Linked DNA regions of Coturnix japonica. The protein of the gene in region 3 purifies or fractionates together with the protein of the main gene of each other region. This does not show direct contact. Links are inferred from orthologs where the notes say so. Each region holds a gene or a part of one and is shown on either strand. Other genes may lie near its edges. The genes, in order: SRC, PIAS1 and STAT1.

Region 1 (4,911 bases), on a different chromosome or scaffold from region 3:
TGGTCCGGGAGAGCGAGACAACAAAAGGTAACCCCCAAATCCCCCTTCCCTCCTCCCCCTCACTTCTGGGAGCAGCCCTGTAGGGGTCCTCCAGCACTTGGTCACCATGTCGTCCCAATCCCCCTGACACAGGTTTACCAAAGGAGATGAGCCTCCTGCTCTGCATTCACCCACAGTTTCACACGTTTTGCTTTTATAGATGTCCCGTTCCCACTCTGTTCTTGTCCGAGCTGGAGGCAGAGGTGTCCCATGCATGACATCCTGGTTTACCCACTAATGGTTTCCCCACTGATGTGCCCATGTAACTCTGAAGTGTTGGGAACAACACCATGTCCTCTCCTGGGCTTTTTTGTGCATTCTTTTTGTCCCTAGGCAAATGAGTTCTGTTCTTTCCTAACCTCTGTCTAATGGCAAAATCTCACTTGTGAGGAACTAAGTGGAGGCAATGATGGATTTTTAGGCTCCTCTTTCAAGGCTATAGACTCTTTATCCTTGTTTTGTTCCTCCCAAATGTGTAAGTTTGATCCCAAGAGCTTGGCTTTCTGAGGATGCTGAGGAGGTTTAGATTACACATAAGGAAAAACTTTTTCTCTCAGAGAGTGGTCAGGCACTGGAATGGCTGCACAGGGAGGTGGTGGAGCTGCCATCCCTGGCACTGTTCAAGAGGCATCTGGATGAGGAGCTACGAGATCTGGTTTAGTGGCTTGTGGTATCAGTGATGATGGGAGGATGGTTGGACTGGATGATCTTGTAGGTCCTTTCCAACCTTGTGATTCTATGATTCTGTGATTCTTACTCTGTTGTGCCCTCAGGTGCCTATTGCCTCTCCGTTTCCGACTTCGACAACGCCAAGGGGCTCAATGTGAAGCACTACAAGATCCGCAAGCTGGACAGCGGCGGCTTCTACATCACCTCGCGCACACAGTTCGGCAGCCTGCAGCAGCTGGTGGCCTACTACTCCAGTGCGTATGGCCAGAGCCCCTGCCCACATCCCTTGGGGTCTGGGTGATGCCAGGGGGGGTTTGGGTTGGGTATTGGGAAGAGTTTGTTTATGGATGGGTGGTAGTGGTGGAGACCTCATCCATGGAGGTGTTTGAGGTATGTGGATGTGGAGCTAAGGGACGTGTCTTAGCGATGGGGTGCTTGGACTTGGGGATATTGATCCTCTTTTCCAACCTTGATGGTTTTATGAAGGGAATGCCAGTGCAGGAGCTGAAGCAGGTGGGCAGACCCTGGTGAAACACCACTTGGGTTTGAGAAAGAGGGGAAGGTGTCTGAGTTTGGGTGCCCAAGGTGTTGTGCAGGGAAGACGTCGTGCACCCAAATACCAAAGCATCACTTGTGTTGTCCCTGCTGCACTAGAACATGCTGATGGCTTGTGCCACCGCCTGACCAATGTCTGCCCCACGTCCAAGCCCCAGACCCAAGGACTCGCCAAGGATGCGTGGGAAATTCCCCGGGAGTCGCTGCGGCTGGAGGTGAAGCTGGGGCAGGGCTGCTTTGGAGAGGTCTGGATGGGTAAGGACAGCCACATGCAGCGTCATCATCCGCATCAGTAGGGAAGCAGGTGTGGAACGCAGCCTTGTAAACATGTCTTGTGCTGCAGGGACCTGGAACGGCACCACCAGAGTGGCCATAAAGACTCTGAAGCCCGGCACGATGTCCCCAGAAGCCTTCCTGCAGGAAGCACAAGTGATGAAGAAGCTCCGGCATGAGAAGCTGGTTCAGCTGTACGCTGTGGTGTCAGAGGAGCCCATCTACATCGTCACTGAGTACATGAGCAAGGGTGAGCACAGCAGGGCTGCTGGGTGGCCAGGGGATGGTACTGCCCATTGGTGACCGCTGTCTTCCTCGCAGGGAGCCTCCTAGACTTCCTGAAGGGAGAGATGGGCAAGTACCTGCGGCTGCCACAGCTCGTCGATATGGCTGCTCAGGTGGGTTCCTGCTTCCTATTCCTCTTGCACCCTGGCTCCCATCAGCTGGATCGGTTCTGGCTGTGGAGCCATTCCCACTGTGGTTGGGGTCCTCTTGTCCCCTGCAAAGCCCAGTCCCCACACTCTGCCCTATAGATTGCGTCTGGCATGGCCTATGTGGAGAGGATGAACTATGTGCACCGAGACCTGCGGGCAGCCAACATCCTGGTGGGGGAGAACCTGGTGTGCAAGGTGGCTGACTTTGGGCTGGCACGTCTCATCGAGGACAACGAGTACACAGCACGGCAAGGTGTGAGCGGGGCACGGGTAGTGGGACTAGAGGTTGGTTTGATGCCCCAGGCCATGAGGTTGGGGGTCTGCGGGCTGTGGATGGGAGCAGCCCCTCACTCTGCCTCCCTGCCCAGGTGCCAAGTTCCCCATCAAGTGGACAGCCCCCGAGGCAGCCCTGTATGGCCGATTCACCATCAAGTCAGATGTTTGGTCCTTCGGCATCCTGCTGACTGAGCTGACCACCAAGGGCCGGGTGCCATACCCAGGTGAGAGCTGGCACCAACCCCACACCCCATGGGCTGGGCACAGTGCGTGACCCGGCCCCACTGCCCTTCTTTCCACAGGGATGGTCAATAGGGAGGTGCTGGACCAGGTGGAGCGGGGCTACCGCATGCCTTGCCCACCCGAGTGCCCTGAATCACTGCATGACCTCATGTGCCAGTGCTGGCGGAAGGACCCTGAGGAGCGGCCCACCTTTGAGTACCTGCAGGCCTTCCTGGAGGACTACTTCACCTCGACAGAGCCCCAGTACCAGCCTGGAGAGAACCTATAGGCCTGGAGCTCCTCTTGGTGCCAGAGGCTTCGCTGTGGGGCGCAGAGGGCTGGCTCTGTGCAGAGGGGCCACGTTTTGAGGAGCAGCCCCAGAGCAAGATGCGGCATGGTGAGGTGTCGGGTGCCCCATTGCTCATTAAAACTGCTGGGCCACCCTTAACGAGGTGGCGAGAGGAGCCCCGGGCACTGCCACCAGCGGAACTGAGGCTCAGGATGGCGAATGGAGCAGCAGGATGGCTGCTGGCACAGCTGTGGCTTACAGGACCCTGTTCTCACAGCAGCCAGAGAAATGGGGGGATAGCCCCTCCCTCCTCAGACACACTGCCCCACACCTCCCGCACCCCCTTTTTTAAATCAGCACAAATTTCTTCACCCATTCACCCACCCACTTCACTCTGGTCTGCACGAGGCTGTTTGCAGAGACATTTGGTGCTGGGGAAGGCACTGCTTTGGGTCGGATGCAGCTGGAGAGCAGACCTTGGGATGCCCCGTGGAGCCTGGTGGTCTCCCTCCAGCAACCACCCATCCTCGGGCACAGGGTTCAGTGTCTGGGGGAACTACTTGTCTTTCAGCACTGCTTTTGTCCACCGATGTGTTTCTAGCCACCATCCCCCCTGCTTCTGCCATCCGCTTATCAGGGAGCATGGAGCGTCTGGGAGCCATTTACAGACCCAGCTGCTCCCTGCTCGCTCCCAGTACCATGTGTTGGAGGTCAGAGCAATCCATGCTCAGCCTGGTACCCACAGCAGCTCCCACTGAGCACCCCTGTACATAGCCCTCCAGCACCTCCCATTACCTGACCAAGCTATGTGTGCTGTCACTGTGGTACCAACATCTGTCCTTGTCTGTGCCCAGCTGGAGCCCCTCATCACACCATCACCACCTGTGTCCTGAACCTCCTATCCATTGCTCACACCCAGTGCCAAAAACACCTCCAGAGAACCAAGCTGAGCCGCTGCTGCCTCCCACTTGTTCCCAGGCGTCTTATTTATTACCTGAGTTCTCAGTCGGTGGCTCTGTTTTAATAGTGAACTCAGTGCAAAGGGGCTCGTAGCAGTATGGAGGGATCCCACTTTTGGCTTGGAGGGCTGTTCCCATGGATTTCTGTACTCACAATGGGAATTGGAGCCCTTCATCCCTTGTCACGTTTCCCTTGGTGCAGGTCCTGCTGCACCCCAGCGCTCACAGCCTTTAAACCTCCACACCCCACGATGTTTGTGTGCCATCACCACACAGTGTGCACAGTGCCTGCATCCCCAGGGGAAAGCTCTGAGAGCAGCACGTGGGGACGGGCAGTAGCCAGATGTGAGCCAAGAGCTGAGCAGAGGGAACAAAGGCAAACACACACATGGACACACAGCCTTTGGGCTCCCATAGCATGGAGCAGGGCTGGGGGCTGCTGGCCCACCTGTGCTCCACAGAGCCCCCGTGCCATCCCCTCCATTGCTGGTCTGTTGCTGAAGCCAGTAGAGGGTTACCCACCCCCCACCCCCAGTGATGCTCTTTGGTACAAAGCAGCCCCGTGTGAGATGTTCTGCTGGTACCATTTTATAAAGTGTTTTGTAACATCTCCCACTGACTATGCACAGGGTGCGTGGATCTGTTTCTCTCCCCCCAGCCCAACACCTCCACCCCCCCAACCTGTTTCAGTGTCAAAGTAAGAAATATTTAGCTTTTTTTTTTTTTTTTTAAATCTTTGGAAAATCCTGACCATGTCCGGCGTGGGGGGTGGTGGGGGATGGAGATGCTTTGAATCTCTCATGATGTTGTTGTAAATACTTTGCAATTTGATAATTAAAGACAAACAGACCTCACCAAACAGATCGCTGTGGGTTGTGTGTGGTGAAGGAGGACCCCTTGGCATCCCCAAAGGGCATCCAGCCCTGCATGTGGCTCTCAGGATTGTCTTGGGGGGGGGTGATATCTGCCAGGGGTAGGAGGAAAACTATGGGGCATGCAGAGCTTTTGTCCCTTATCCATCTGCCCTGGGACACCCCTGTCTGTGCTGATTGCAGCCTCCTTCAGCTGTTGCTCAGTGAGCTGGCTGGGAGCAGGCTTGCTTCATTAGGGTAATTAGTGGATGCTGATTGGAATCCCTCAGTTGGTGATGAAGTAATTGATTTGTGGGAATAGGCCTTCAGAGAGTGGGGCTGTG
Region 2 (5,496 bases), on a different chromosome or scaffold from region 3:
TGCTCCATCAGCCCTGCATCCATTCAGGCACCCTGCATGGGGGGCAATGGGACTGGAGCTGCTCCCACCCCTGTGCTGGAGTTCAATGTGGTGGTGGTTTATTCCCTTACAACGCAGCAGTAATGCCCCACGAGGCCCCAAAGCCACGTCCAGCCCACGCTGTGTGCACACCCTGACCCCATACAGAGCACCCACCCCCCATCCCTGCAGGAACTCAGGGACACAAACCACCACCAAAGGCCCACGGCTGCCCCCAGCAGCAGGCACACACTGCACTTATCAGCAACACGATGGGGGAGACCATAGTTCCATTTGTAGGGAACTTTGAGAACTCAGACTGAGACTTCTACCAAGTCACGTTAACTGTGGTCAGAGGCACAGAGATTATGGACCATACAGCACAGCCCGGCGTGAAACATGAATATTCCAACACACGGGATTCACACCGCAAAGAGTTTCGGGAACGTTTCTCTCCCTTCTTTGCAGAGCAACGAGGTTGGAGACAGCAGCAGCAAACTGAGCAGCCTTCCTTCCCTTGGGGCAAGGCGGGAGGAGTGGAAGACATCACCGTGCAGCCTCACTCTCCATGCGCGGGCAGCAAGATGCCAGATCCCGTCTTACCACACTCTTGCCGCGACTGGTTTTATATGTGAATTAAAAAGACTGGAATACCGTGGTGGGAACGGGCGCGGGCTGCTCCTCAGCTCCTCTTCTGTACAGTCAGTGGGAACACACTGCACGCCTCGCTCAGCTCTGCAAACGTCCCTGGCTGCTCCGCTTTACAAAAGGAACAGACACGGCGCGGCTGCTCTGCGGGTACCGGGTCAGTACTCACAACTAAAATGTATGAGACATATTCCTCATGTAGGTTTAATCACTTTGAAATCAGACTGAGTTTAAAAAATAAGTATTTCCCATTTTCTATCCTTTTATTTTATTTTTTTTTAACTGACATTTAATAAATTATAAAATTGGTGTATGGTGAAATATATATATATATATATATATCAGCCAGATATGTATGAAATACACATGCATGGGAAAAACTATTTAACTCACTTTTAACTCACACACACAGATCTATAAATACATATATACACACACATATACATATAAACACAAACATTTGTTTCCAAAATTCAAGTCAACTATTTAGTGGCAGAGGGATGCTGTAAAAACACTAGAAACAATTTTGATGCCACGTAATCGTGTGAACCTTTCAAAGAACCATACAACTGATCATACAGCAATACCTAATGCTACTTGGATTAACGTGTTTTTGCTTTTTTTTGTCTTTTTTTTTTTTTTTTTTTTTTCCTTTTTTTTTTCTTATTTTCTTTTTTTTTTTTTTTTCCTTTTTGTAATTAATGCAATATTTTGAGACAACTTCATAGGCAAAAGGTGGCCCTCGTCAATGCTCAAAGCAACTATAGCTGCAATCAGCAGCTTGGGACATTAAAAACTCAGACAAGCATCTGCTAACCTCTGTATTCCTCACTCTCTTTCCTGATAAACCTGTTACCTGCACTTCCAACCAGTTACAAAAATAGCTTTCACACCAGAGGAAATCACTTCTCTCTGATGGGACTTTGGGACACAACAGAATCACCTCCTCCCCTCCCCCTGCTCTCACTTTAAAGAATCTCCTGAAAAACTGCATTCCAGCTATTTACACGTTTCTCTGTAACAAGAACGGATCAGCCCAAATGATCCACCAGCTCTTAAAAAAAGGTTTTCCTATGTCACACACAGCTGAAAAAGTGAAGAAAGAAACGAAACCAGGAAGCAAACGTGGCTCCAAGTGTGATGGAAGGGAACTGAAAGGAACGGGGAATCAAAATAACCACCAAGCCATAAAGAGAAAACTGAATGGGAACCCCACAACCCTAAGAGAGACTTCAATAGGCAGAGATTCATTTAAGTGCAGGGAAGGGCACTGGGCTTCTTTTTTGGCTTAACAGACTCACATTAAACATTTAATACCAACTTGGGTGAAGGAGAACTCAGAAGACAGCAAACCAAGACCATTATCGGCTGCACCAACCATGCAATAGAGCGTCGGCATTTGTATTTTCTTCCTTTTGCTGACAAGTTCACTTTTAAGCAGAAATTTGATCTACTGCAGCTAAAAGGAGGTTTTCCAAGCCAGGAGACAGGCCCAACCCAGTGGGCCAGTCCTACACGCGTGGCTGATCTTAAAGCACAAGCAGCTCCACACATTTCAAACTGACACATGCTGAATATTGTGAGTAGGATCTTAAGTTATCTTAAAAGGATTTCATAGTAAGTTGTTAGAAACAAAAACCTACAGTCAGATGTGTCGATGCTTTTCTCTGGGGCTGGATTCTATATGAATTTGGTCTTGTCCCACATAACACAGCCAAACAACTTCTCAGCCTGACATTTTATTGAGTCTGGCCCTCCAGAATAATTGGTGCACTAACAAGCTCACAACATGCTTGATTAAAGCACGGAATTAAAAAGAAAGTCAGCCAAACAGAGGGTCACATAGAACAAGAAATGACAAATAAACACTCCTGAAAGGCTACGTACTGCAAACAGAGGGAACGGTGCGGAACAGGCTGGGTAGGGTTTATTCCACATCGAGCACAACAAAATCTGCACTAAAATGGGATGGGGGAATTCCATTCCACCACCAAATACAGGTGTCTCCAAGAGGCAAAAAAAAAAAGAAAAAGAAAAAAAACAACCCAGAAGTTTGAACTTCAGAAGTTCAGTTCCTTTTCCCATTTCTGTTACTGTGAAGAAAATAATGCCATTTGTGTCCAAACTAAGGGCAAAAGAAATAAGTAACTCACATGACAAATGCACAGGTGTTGAATCTTCAGCATCCATTAAATCCAAGTTCCTTGTTTTTGTGGGTTTTTGTGTGTGTGTTCTGCTTTGTGTTGTGGCATTTATTTATTTATTTATTTTGTTATTTTTTTTATCAGTGAGGCCATCTTAGGTTTATATACAAAAGTAAAACTGAAAATATAGTTTTGTTCTCTGTACATGTAAATTTTTTTCCCTAAAAAAGGAAAAAAACCTGTCTATGTTTCTAACATAAAGTAAAACCAAGCACAAAGACTTCCTCTGACAAGTTCGTTTTCTCCAAAAATCAGTCCAACGAAATAATGTCTGATATGATACCAAAGATAGACGCCGTGTCCGCGCCGCTCCTACTTGCAACTGGATGACCATGATTCTCTCGCAGGCTGTTGGAGGAAACAAGACTGCTGTTACTGCCACTATTGCTACCGTTTGTGGCTGGCAGAGAACTGCTTCCTCCTGCATTTAGCTGATCGAGAAACATCTGAGATGAAGTGTATGGGAAAAAACGAGAGTGTAAGAGTTCTTGATCATCTGATGCGGAAACTGCCGCAGCTGCAGCAGCAAGAAGGGATGTGTTGTAATGCTGGGGGGGGAAAAACAACATTTGCAAGTTACATTTCAGACACCATTGTTTTGATTCAGACCAGCAAAAAAAAAAAGAATATATTTGTAAGCTACAGCTCTGACAGCTTCTGGGTTTCACACCAGCTCGCCCACTCAACCTTTCTGTAAGGTAAACGGATCGATGCAGTGATCTTTTACTTCTGCAGCCTCTGAATTTCAGAGCCAAAAGGAATGGGAAATACTGGCAATTAGTAAGAAAAAACACTAGAAAGGTAGTGGCATTGCAAGACAGCCGAACAGTGAGAAATGTCAAGCAGAAGCACTTGTACCTCTCCATACAACTCCTTGGTGGAAAAATTCCCCAAAATTCAAAGAATCATTTTGCCATCCCTCTGCTCATTAGTCATCAACTACAGCTGGTAAAACTATGGGCTAATCACTGCTGGTGGAGAGAGAAACAGTTCTTCCCTGTGAAAAATACATTTAGAAATATGGGAAATATGTTTAGGCCCATCAGGAGGCAGCAAAGGCCGTCTGAAGTGACACTCTTTGACAGGCAGCACCCAAAAGGCAAGAACTTCAATTATCAAGGTCGGATTTTAAATGTTATTTATCTGTATGGTGCTTCTGCTCTTTATATTTGTTTTAACTACAAGGAAACATCCACACACGTCATTTAGCCTTGTTTCCTGGCACTCGAGCACTGGTACAACTATGCCTTGCCAGTGCAACACCAGACTTTGGCAATACTCATTTCAGAATTATTCTCATGTCTGTCTTTTTACTGAATATGAAGAAAGCTTCTCTGAATCCAAGTTCTGTTAAACAGGCTCTGGACTTTGCAATGACATGGAAGTCCCCTTGTTTTTAGTCCCATTCTCCTACCTGAGAGTGCTGAACAGGAATGGAGGGAAGAAAGGTGGTGAACCACCCCAACCCTCTTCTTTGCTGGGAAGCACTGAAGGGGTAGTGACCAAGTGGGAGAATTCACCAAACCTTTTGAGAACCATCTTTTTAGTTCCCCGAACTGCAGAAGCCAGCACCAAATCTAGTTCATTTCAGTAAGTGCTTACAGGAAAGCAGCAAGCAGTGTGAGCAGGCACACAGCCTCAGGGGAAGAGGAAAATAAAAGGAGCTGCCCTGACTCTCAAAATTGCATAGAGCACTGTCAAGAGACCCAGTGATGGGGCCTAACATGGTCAGATGGAGAAAGATCACACTAACTTAAAGTATGTAAAAGTGTGCATTTTCAGCCACAGCCAAGGGTCATCCTGCAATATACCTGCAGCTAACTAGCTTGAAGCCCTTGAAGAAAAGTCTTTGTCTGCTGTTATGCCTTATCATGCATCTGTATTTAGGATAATGCTTATGTCTGGTTACATCCTATGTGCACAAAAGAGGTACAGTCTGCCTGCACTCACACCTGTGTTACAGATCTGCTCTTTCCTCGCCTATACATCCAAGTCAGCAAGTCCTTATCAGAAAAGCAATCTGCCAGATGGTTTGATTTTCCTTAACTTACCTGATTGTCTCCTGACAGGAAAGGGAAGAAATCTAAACCTGAAAAGAGCCAAAGAAAAAGAGTCAGGCTTCTCAAAACAAAAAAAGTACCTCCCAATTTCTCCCACCAAATTTTGAAATGAAATAAATTGAACCAGCATAAAACTAATGACACTTCAGACTCTCTTTACCACCAGACCTTGGGAGAAATCAGACTTTTAACACCTTAAGATACTAACCTAAACCTTCTTTCTCTTACAATACCACTTTGTTTTCCGTGGTTGTAAAAATATTATTTTGCATAACTGGACTGTGAAACAGTCTGTTTGAATCCTTCTGTAACAGTCACAATAGCTCAGAGAGTTGTACCTATAGTTACAAACAGCCAGCAGCTTACCTTGCAAGTCATAAGGCATAGGTGTCATATGGAATGGATGCCTGTAGTCTTGGATAAGCGATGTGTTGATGTAACTGGTGTCAACAGCAGGAAGGCTTGGTGTTCTTGACACAGGAGATGCTTGATGGGGTAAATTCAAAATGCTAGCAAAAGTAAAAGGTTTAAAGAGTAAAATTTAACCTTAAAGCCAAGACTATAAG
Region 3 (5,616 bases):
GCCTGTGCTCTAATGCTCTTAGTTCTCTCTATAACACTGTCAAAAATGTGCTGCAAAGTGAAGAATTTCTGTCTCAGAACATAACAGGCTCAGTCAGGTATCATTTAATTTCATTAGCAGGTTGGATCTGGCTCTGTAGTTTACATGGCTTTTCTAACTGTGGAATTTTTTATTGCAACACAGTTCTTGGAAGGGAAAATCCAAACAGATGCACTGCCAAAATAATGATGAGGAGAAGAATACGCTCTGCCTATGGCTCAGCAGTTCAGTTTAAAACATAAACGTAAAATTGAGTGTAGCTGGGAAGGAAGAGTAGTATCACTTTCCAAGGCAGTCCAGAGACCCACTAGTGCTCAGCTGCTCAATAAACAGTAAATCAAGAGTAAAATGGAAAAGGAAGGAAGAATCAAGATCACTTTCTGGCCCTTTCCCATCTGAATAGCTCACGCTACTCAAACCCGCTGGTATCCCAAGTAATAGGAAAGGGCAGACACGACTGCAGTGGACATTTCAAAACTAACTTACCTGATTAGACAACTGTGCACTGTTCAGTATTTTCCTCTCCTCTTTCAGGCAGTTGTGGATGATCATTGCCATGTGTATTGGGTCTTCTTGGAAGTTATCCTGGTGTTAGACATGGGCTATTGTTAAACTTAATACGTGTAATCTCTTGTATTTCATTAAATCAACTGACAAGAATAACATGTGTCGGGTTAAGCCCGAGTTGTATCTTGCTTTGAGACTACATGGACTGTAGCCAGCTCTAGGAAGCAGTTTCTCTGCTTGGTGTATTACTTTGTTTTGTTAGGGTACAAAGAGTTGATGGGACTTGTCATGTAACAATGACATAGGGCTGGAGATGTTACTGTAAGAAGGCACAGAGTAAGCTGTTTTACACTGTAGTGCTGGAGACAGCTTTGAGAGCCACACCTCCACACCTTGGAGGCATAGCTGCAGTTTTTAAAGAGGAGTTATAGCTTGACAGGTGCTGCTTTCACTTGGGAAGATAAAGAAGGGACATTTGCTGCCACTTGGGAACACAGAGACAAGGGAAGTAATGGAGACCACAAATAGATTCTGCAGTGCTATCCACTACCCACTGCTTCATCCTTTTCTTTGTCAGAATAATGTGATGTACACAAGTGACAGATTCCCTGTTTTTTATTGTGGTTCTGTAGCTATGTTTAAGGATTTATTCTCCTGTGTTTCTTCTGCATCAGTGATTTATTGAGACAAGAAACTGCTCTGGGAAGGGTTGGGGTAAGCAAAGCTGCATTCCCTAAGGTACTCCAATTACATGCTCCTTGCATGCTCCTATTACAGACCCTTGCATACAGCAACTTCTGGTTTTGAGTTCTCAGAAACCATAACTTGTACTGTTAATGAAAGTAACTTTGTAACCATAGCCAAGTTAAAATAAAAATGGAGTCACGTTTGGAATCTGACTTGTTAAATTAAGGCTCTCGAATACTCTCTGGAAAATCCCTCAGGGCAGAATATTCTGCTTGGGGACATCCAACTCCAGCACCAAAGGTATTTAAACACGTGCCTGGGCATACCTGAAGATTACGTTTGCTTTTCCTTATGTTGTGTTGCAGCAAGAAGTTGTTTTCTATCAAAAATCGGCTAAATTGATCATCGAGCTGTGACAGCAGGTCATGGAATAGCACCGTAGCAAATGACACATTGTTGGCCGCGTGTTCCCTAGAATAAATTGCAAGCATGCTTGTGTTAAATGCTTTCAACCAGCACTCAAAATGCACTACAGAGAACGTTGTATTGATCCCCAGCTCCAGTTGTAATATACGTGAGCAGGAAGAACTGCTTTCAAACACGTCAGCCTCATCCTCTCACCTTCTGCTTCACTTTCCTCAATAGAGAACTGCTGTTCTTCTGTGCTGCCTTTGCCACGTTTTGTGTGACATCACTGACCCTTTCCATGTGCATCAGGAAGCTAGAAGTGACCCTGATGCATACACACACCATGCAGTGCTAAACAACACTCCATAGGAACGTTGGAAAACAGTTCTGAGTCTGTGAATGGTGAGAGCCTGAGGTGCCAGGCAAACTGACTGCCTTAAAACACCTGCTTTTGGTTGAGATTAACTAAAGAAAACATTAAGTGGGGCAATTGTTACTCTAGACATCAGGCCTCCCCTACACAGACTAGATTCCCACCCCTCCTCAAGTCTATGAGCTGCACAGCTCTCAAAGCATCCTACCAGCATAGGTGTCCCCACGTCCCTAGCAGCTTTCTTCCCCAGTACTCTGCTGCCACCTGTCCCTCTCTGTGTAACGTTTATTATCCTATAACCCAAAGGTCAATTTCTATGCTTACCAATCCTGGTTTTCCAGCCACTGTGCCAGGTACTGCCTGATCTCCATAGGGAAGCTGTCATCGTACAGCTGGTGAACTTGCTCCAAAAACTTGGAGTCCAGTTGTTGTAGCTGATACCACTGAGTCATCCTGGGAAGCGGGGAATAAAAGCAGCTTAAGGTACCGTTAGAGCTGAAGTGGTGCAAAATGACTCATTCCAGGCTTTCATTAAACCCATAAATCTGGAGGTCACGGTAAAACGGAAGGAAATTGGAACAGAAGCACGTTCTGTTTTGAGGTGAAATGGAATCACTGAACGATCAAAACATCACTTAACATCTTCTGCGCTGCTTTGAATTCCAAAAGCTGCCAATTAAGACTGTTAATTGCATCAACAGAAGTCAGTCAACACTTCAAACACTCTTCCCTATGAAAAGCTGCGTTTTTTACCCTCCATACACGCTCCTTTCTCAATCAGTATCAGCACTGTGACTGTACTGTAGTTGCTTACAGGGGAGCTGATAGGTCAGGGCTGTGTCTGCCTAAGGGAGTACAGACAGTGTTCACCTGTGCTCCCAGCTGAGCAGGAGGGTGGGCTGAGAGTGGAGCCCTATGGCTCATATAAATACCAGCCACTGAAGAGAGAGCATCGTTTGGATCTGGGCTGCTTCGTATAGGAGTGCTGCATTGCCAGGGAGCCCCTTCATCAGCTGGGTGAGTCTGATTCTTTTCTCTTTTTGTATATGATTTTTGGCTTGAATATTAGGGTTGATATTGCTGAGATTCTTTAGAAGCAGTTTTGTCTCTCTGTATTCAGCTCCAATCTCTCCCCTCATCCCATCACAACAGACCCTATTGAAGAGCATATCCCCTTCCTTCGCAGAGCGGGTCGCTCTCAGGTCCCCCCCAGCCTTCTCCTACCCCCCAGGTTATGGTTCCAAGGCTCACAGCTGGCTATAACGGCGATCAGATGCTAATTTACCCCCACCCCATCCCGTACTCACCCGCTGGCACTACCCGTCCCGCTCCGCTCTCTCCCCTTCCCCGCTCCCACAAATACCCTCCCGGCCGCGGCCATGGGGATACACCGCAGGGCCAATAGGAGCCCGGCCCACACCGCCCGGGCCAATGAGCACGCGCGGTGCCGCCCTAAGCCCCGCCCCCTTCACTTTTTCTTCCGCGTTTCTTCTGGGACTCGCTGTGGTGCTTTGCGCATGCGTAGTGACGGCGCTGTGAGGCGGCGCTGCACCACGTGACTTCTGGGAAAGGCTCCCTGCGACCGGAACGGGCCGCTTGGCGGGAAGGCGAAACCGAAAGCGACACCACAGGCACAGCGCCGCCATCTTGGCCTTTGTTTGCATTGATAGACTGTACAATCGTATCTCGGGCTGTTAATAAATTAACCCAGATTTCCGTCCAACAGACAGAGACTTGGATGGAGGTCTGCTTAATAACAGCTGAGGGTTTTAATTGTGCCCGGTGTTTGGCCGGCTGAGAGCTTTCATCCTAGTAAATAACTGATATGGAGGCTTCATTATCTCACATTTCATCCTTATTGCAGCTCGTTGCCTTGTTAGGACATGTAGGGCTGTGTTGGTATAAGTAACTCTAGACAATCTTGGCTTATGTTAAAACCTGGGTTCTTTTCTGTTGCTTCTTTTTTTCCCCTATGAAGATTATTTAGAAGATAAATCCTGAGGCTCTGGAAAGGCAGGAGTTTGCCAAATGAACATTCTTCCTTGATGCATAGAGAAAATACACTCAATTTCTTTGGGTAGGCTGAGTTATTTACCAGAGTGTTCCAAAGTGTTTGTGAATGGTCAGTAAAGTGTATAAACCTAATGGGGAGTGCTTGGGTCTTTTTTGGTTGTAGTTTGTATCTCCCGCTCCCCTCAAACAGGGAAACCTTCTTAGCTGGTAGAAGAGATGGGTAAATAGAAGATGTGCTGGTAAGTTTTTGTCTGGTAGCCCTGATTACTGGTATGAATCTGAGTTCTTTATATATCAAACCAGTAGGAAAATGGTAGCTAATAGGTTTTTACATTGAATTTGAAACCGTGTGGTAGTAGGGCAGGGCACAAAGCACAGCACAGTGCTGTTGGGTTCTTTTCCTGTTATTTCTGATTTTGCAGCTGTGAAACCCAGTGAAAGCGTAAGCACTGTTAGTAAAAGTGCTGGAGAGCAGATGTCATCTGCTGTAGCAGCATGTGAGAGTGTCCCTTTTGACTTGCTTTTCTTGTTTTTTTTGCCATTTACTTCCTTTCTTTGAACCCTCATCTCATACAGGGACACGTTCTCATTAGTGGGGTGTGTTTTCTTTGTGGAACAAGATTTGTCCAGTATAAATTCATTATAAAGACAATAACGTTTGTCTCTTTGAAGTAGCAAACAGAGCTGCAGTAGCAGGCCTTCCAATTAAACCAACAAAGACAACTAATAGCAAAACCTTATCAGCAATCTTATTAAGCCATACAAGAAAAATCATTGAGTTGTACAGGGAGCAGAAAGGGTAGAGAACAAGAGTGATTTGCATGTTGTGTCTGCCCTCCCTCCCTTTTTAAACTGTATTTCTCATGACCTTTAGATGGCCAGTATCCATTTTGTTAGTATTAAGATAGTGAAAAGAGGTCAGGATAAGAAAGCATGCAGTGTGGGGTCAAGTTTTGTTTGCTGCTGTTGGAGTCTGTGTAGCTGTAGTTTAGATGCGTGCTCAGCCTGAAGTGGTCTCAAAGGTCTTTTCATGCTTAGATGATAGATGCCACAGGTCTTTGTTTTATATTGAAGAAATCCGCATAAGCTCAGGTGTCCAACTTAAAGCCTAAGTGTGTTTTTATCCATACTTGTGGTATAAATTACAGTTTGTTATCAGACATAGATACACAATGATTGTTGTTTAGGTTCTCTATGTGATGCTTTGCAAGTATAAATGTGGATCTACATAGCTTTGAATCACTGTGACTGATCAACTACTGAGACGTGTTTGGTGATTTAATATCTACTCTGATATTTCAGCAGTGCCCAGAAAGAGTGTTTCTCCATTCTGACACAGATGTTGCTCATTCACATCAATGATACGGGTGAAGGGGGGAGTAAAGAGAAATGAAACTGAAATCTCACTCTGACTCTGATGTGAAGGGGTTGTTTTGATTTCAAGCGCTTGTGTTACTCGTGCTTCAGCATCTGCACCTCATGCTCTTCCTTAGTGTTTGTGTGTTCTAAGGACTTTGTATCAGCTGTTTATTTTGCACACAAGTTAAATCTGCACGAGGCTGCACTCATAAAAGGCAATGGCCCTGGAA

Evidence for each region.
Region 1: the proteins of STAT1 (region 3) and SRC purify together in Homo sapiens (affinity purification with western blotting; 3 studies listed by BioGRID). This does not show direct contact. The link is inferred for Coturnix japonica from reciprocal best matches to the Homo sapiens genes STAT1 and SRC.
Region 2: the proteins of STAT1 (region 3) and PIAS1 purify together in Homo sapiens (affinity purification with western blotting; 5 studies listed by BioGRID). This does not show direct contact. The link is inferred for Coturnix japonica from reciprocal best matches to the Homo sapiens genes STAT1 and PIAS1.

Annotation. Positions count from the first base shown.
Region 1 is NC_029535.1:4,452,489-4,457,399, forward strand, and holds the end of SRC (proto-oncogene tyrosine-protein kinase Src), read left to right. Parts: coding exon 1-27; intron 28-812; coding exon 813-962; intron 963-1,362; coding exon 1,363-1,518; intron 1,519-1,606; coding exon 1,607-1,786; intron 1,787-1,857; coding exon 1,858-1,934; intron 1,935-2,069; coding exon 2,070-2,223; intron 2,224-2,338; coding exon 2,339-2,470; intron 2,471-2,548; coding exon 2,549-2,757; 3' UTR 2,758-4,250; downstream 4,251-4,911. UniProt on the Homo sapiens protein: Non-receptor protein tyrosine kinase which is activated following engagement of many different classes of cellular receptors including immune response receptors, integrins and other adhesion receptors, receptor protein tyrosine kinases, G protein-coupled receptors as well as cytokine receptors.
Region 2 is NC_029525.1:17,355,206-17,360,701, reverse strand, and holds the end of PIAS1 (E3 SUMO-protein ligase PIAS1), read right to left. Parts: intron 5,440-5,496; coding exon 5,297-5,439; intron 4,960-5,296; coding exon 4,922-4,959; intron 3,419-4,921; coding exon 3,122-3,418; 3' UTR 1,345-3,121; downstream 1-1,344. UniProt on the Homo sapiens protein: Functions as an E3-type small ubiquitin-like modifier (SUMO) ligase, stabilizing the interaction between UBE2I and the substrate, and as a SUMO-tethering factor. Catalyzes sumoylation of various proteins, such as CEBPB, MRE11, MTA1, PTK2 and PML.
Region 3 is NC_029522.1:2,024,122-2,029,737, reverse strand, and holds the start of STAT1 (signal transducer and activator of transcription 1-alpha/beta), read right to left. Parts: upstream 3,449-5,616; 5' UTR 3,396-3,448; coding exon 3,322-3,395; intron 2,468-3,321; coding exon 2,339-2,467; intron 1,705-2,338; coding exon 1,560-1,704; intron 625-1,559; coding exon 526-624; intron 520-525; exon of another isoform or gene 1-519. UniProt on the Homo sapiens protein: Signal transducer and transcription activator that mediates cellular responses to interferons (IFNs), cytokine KITLG/SCF and other cytokines and other growth factors.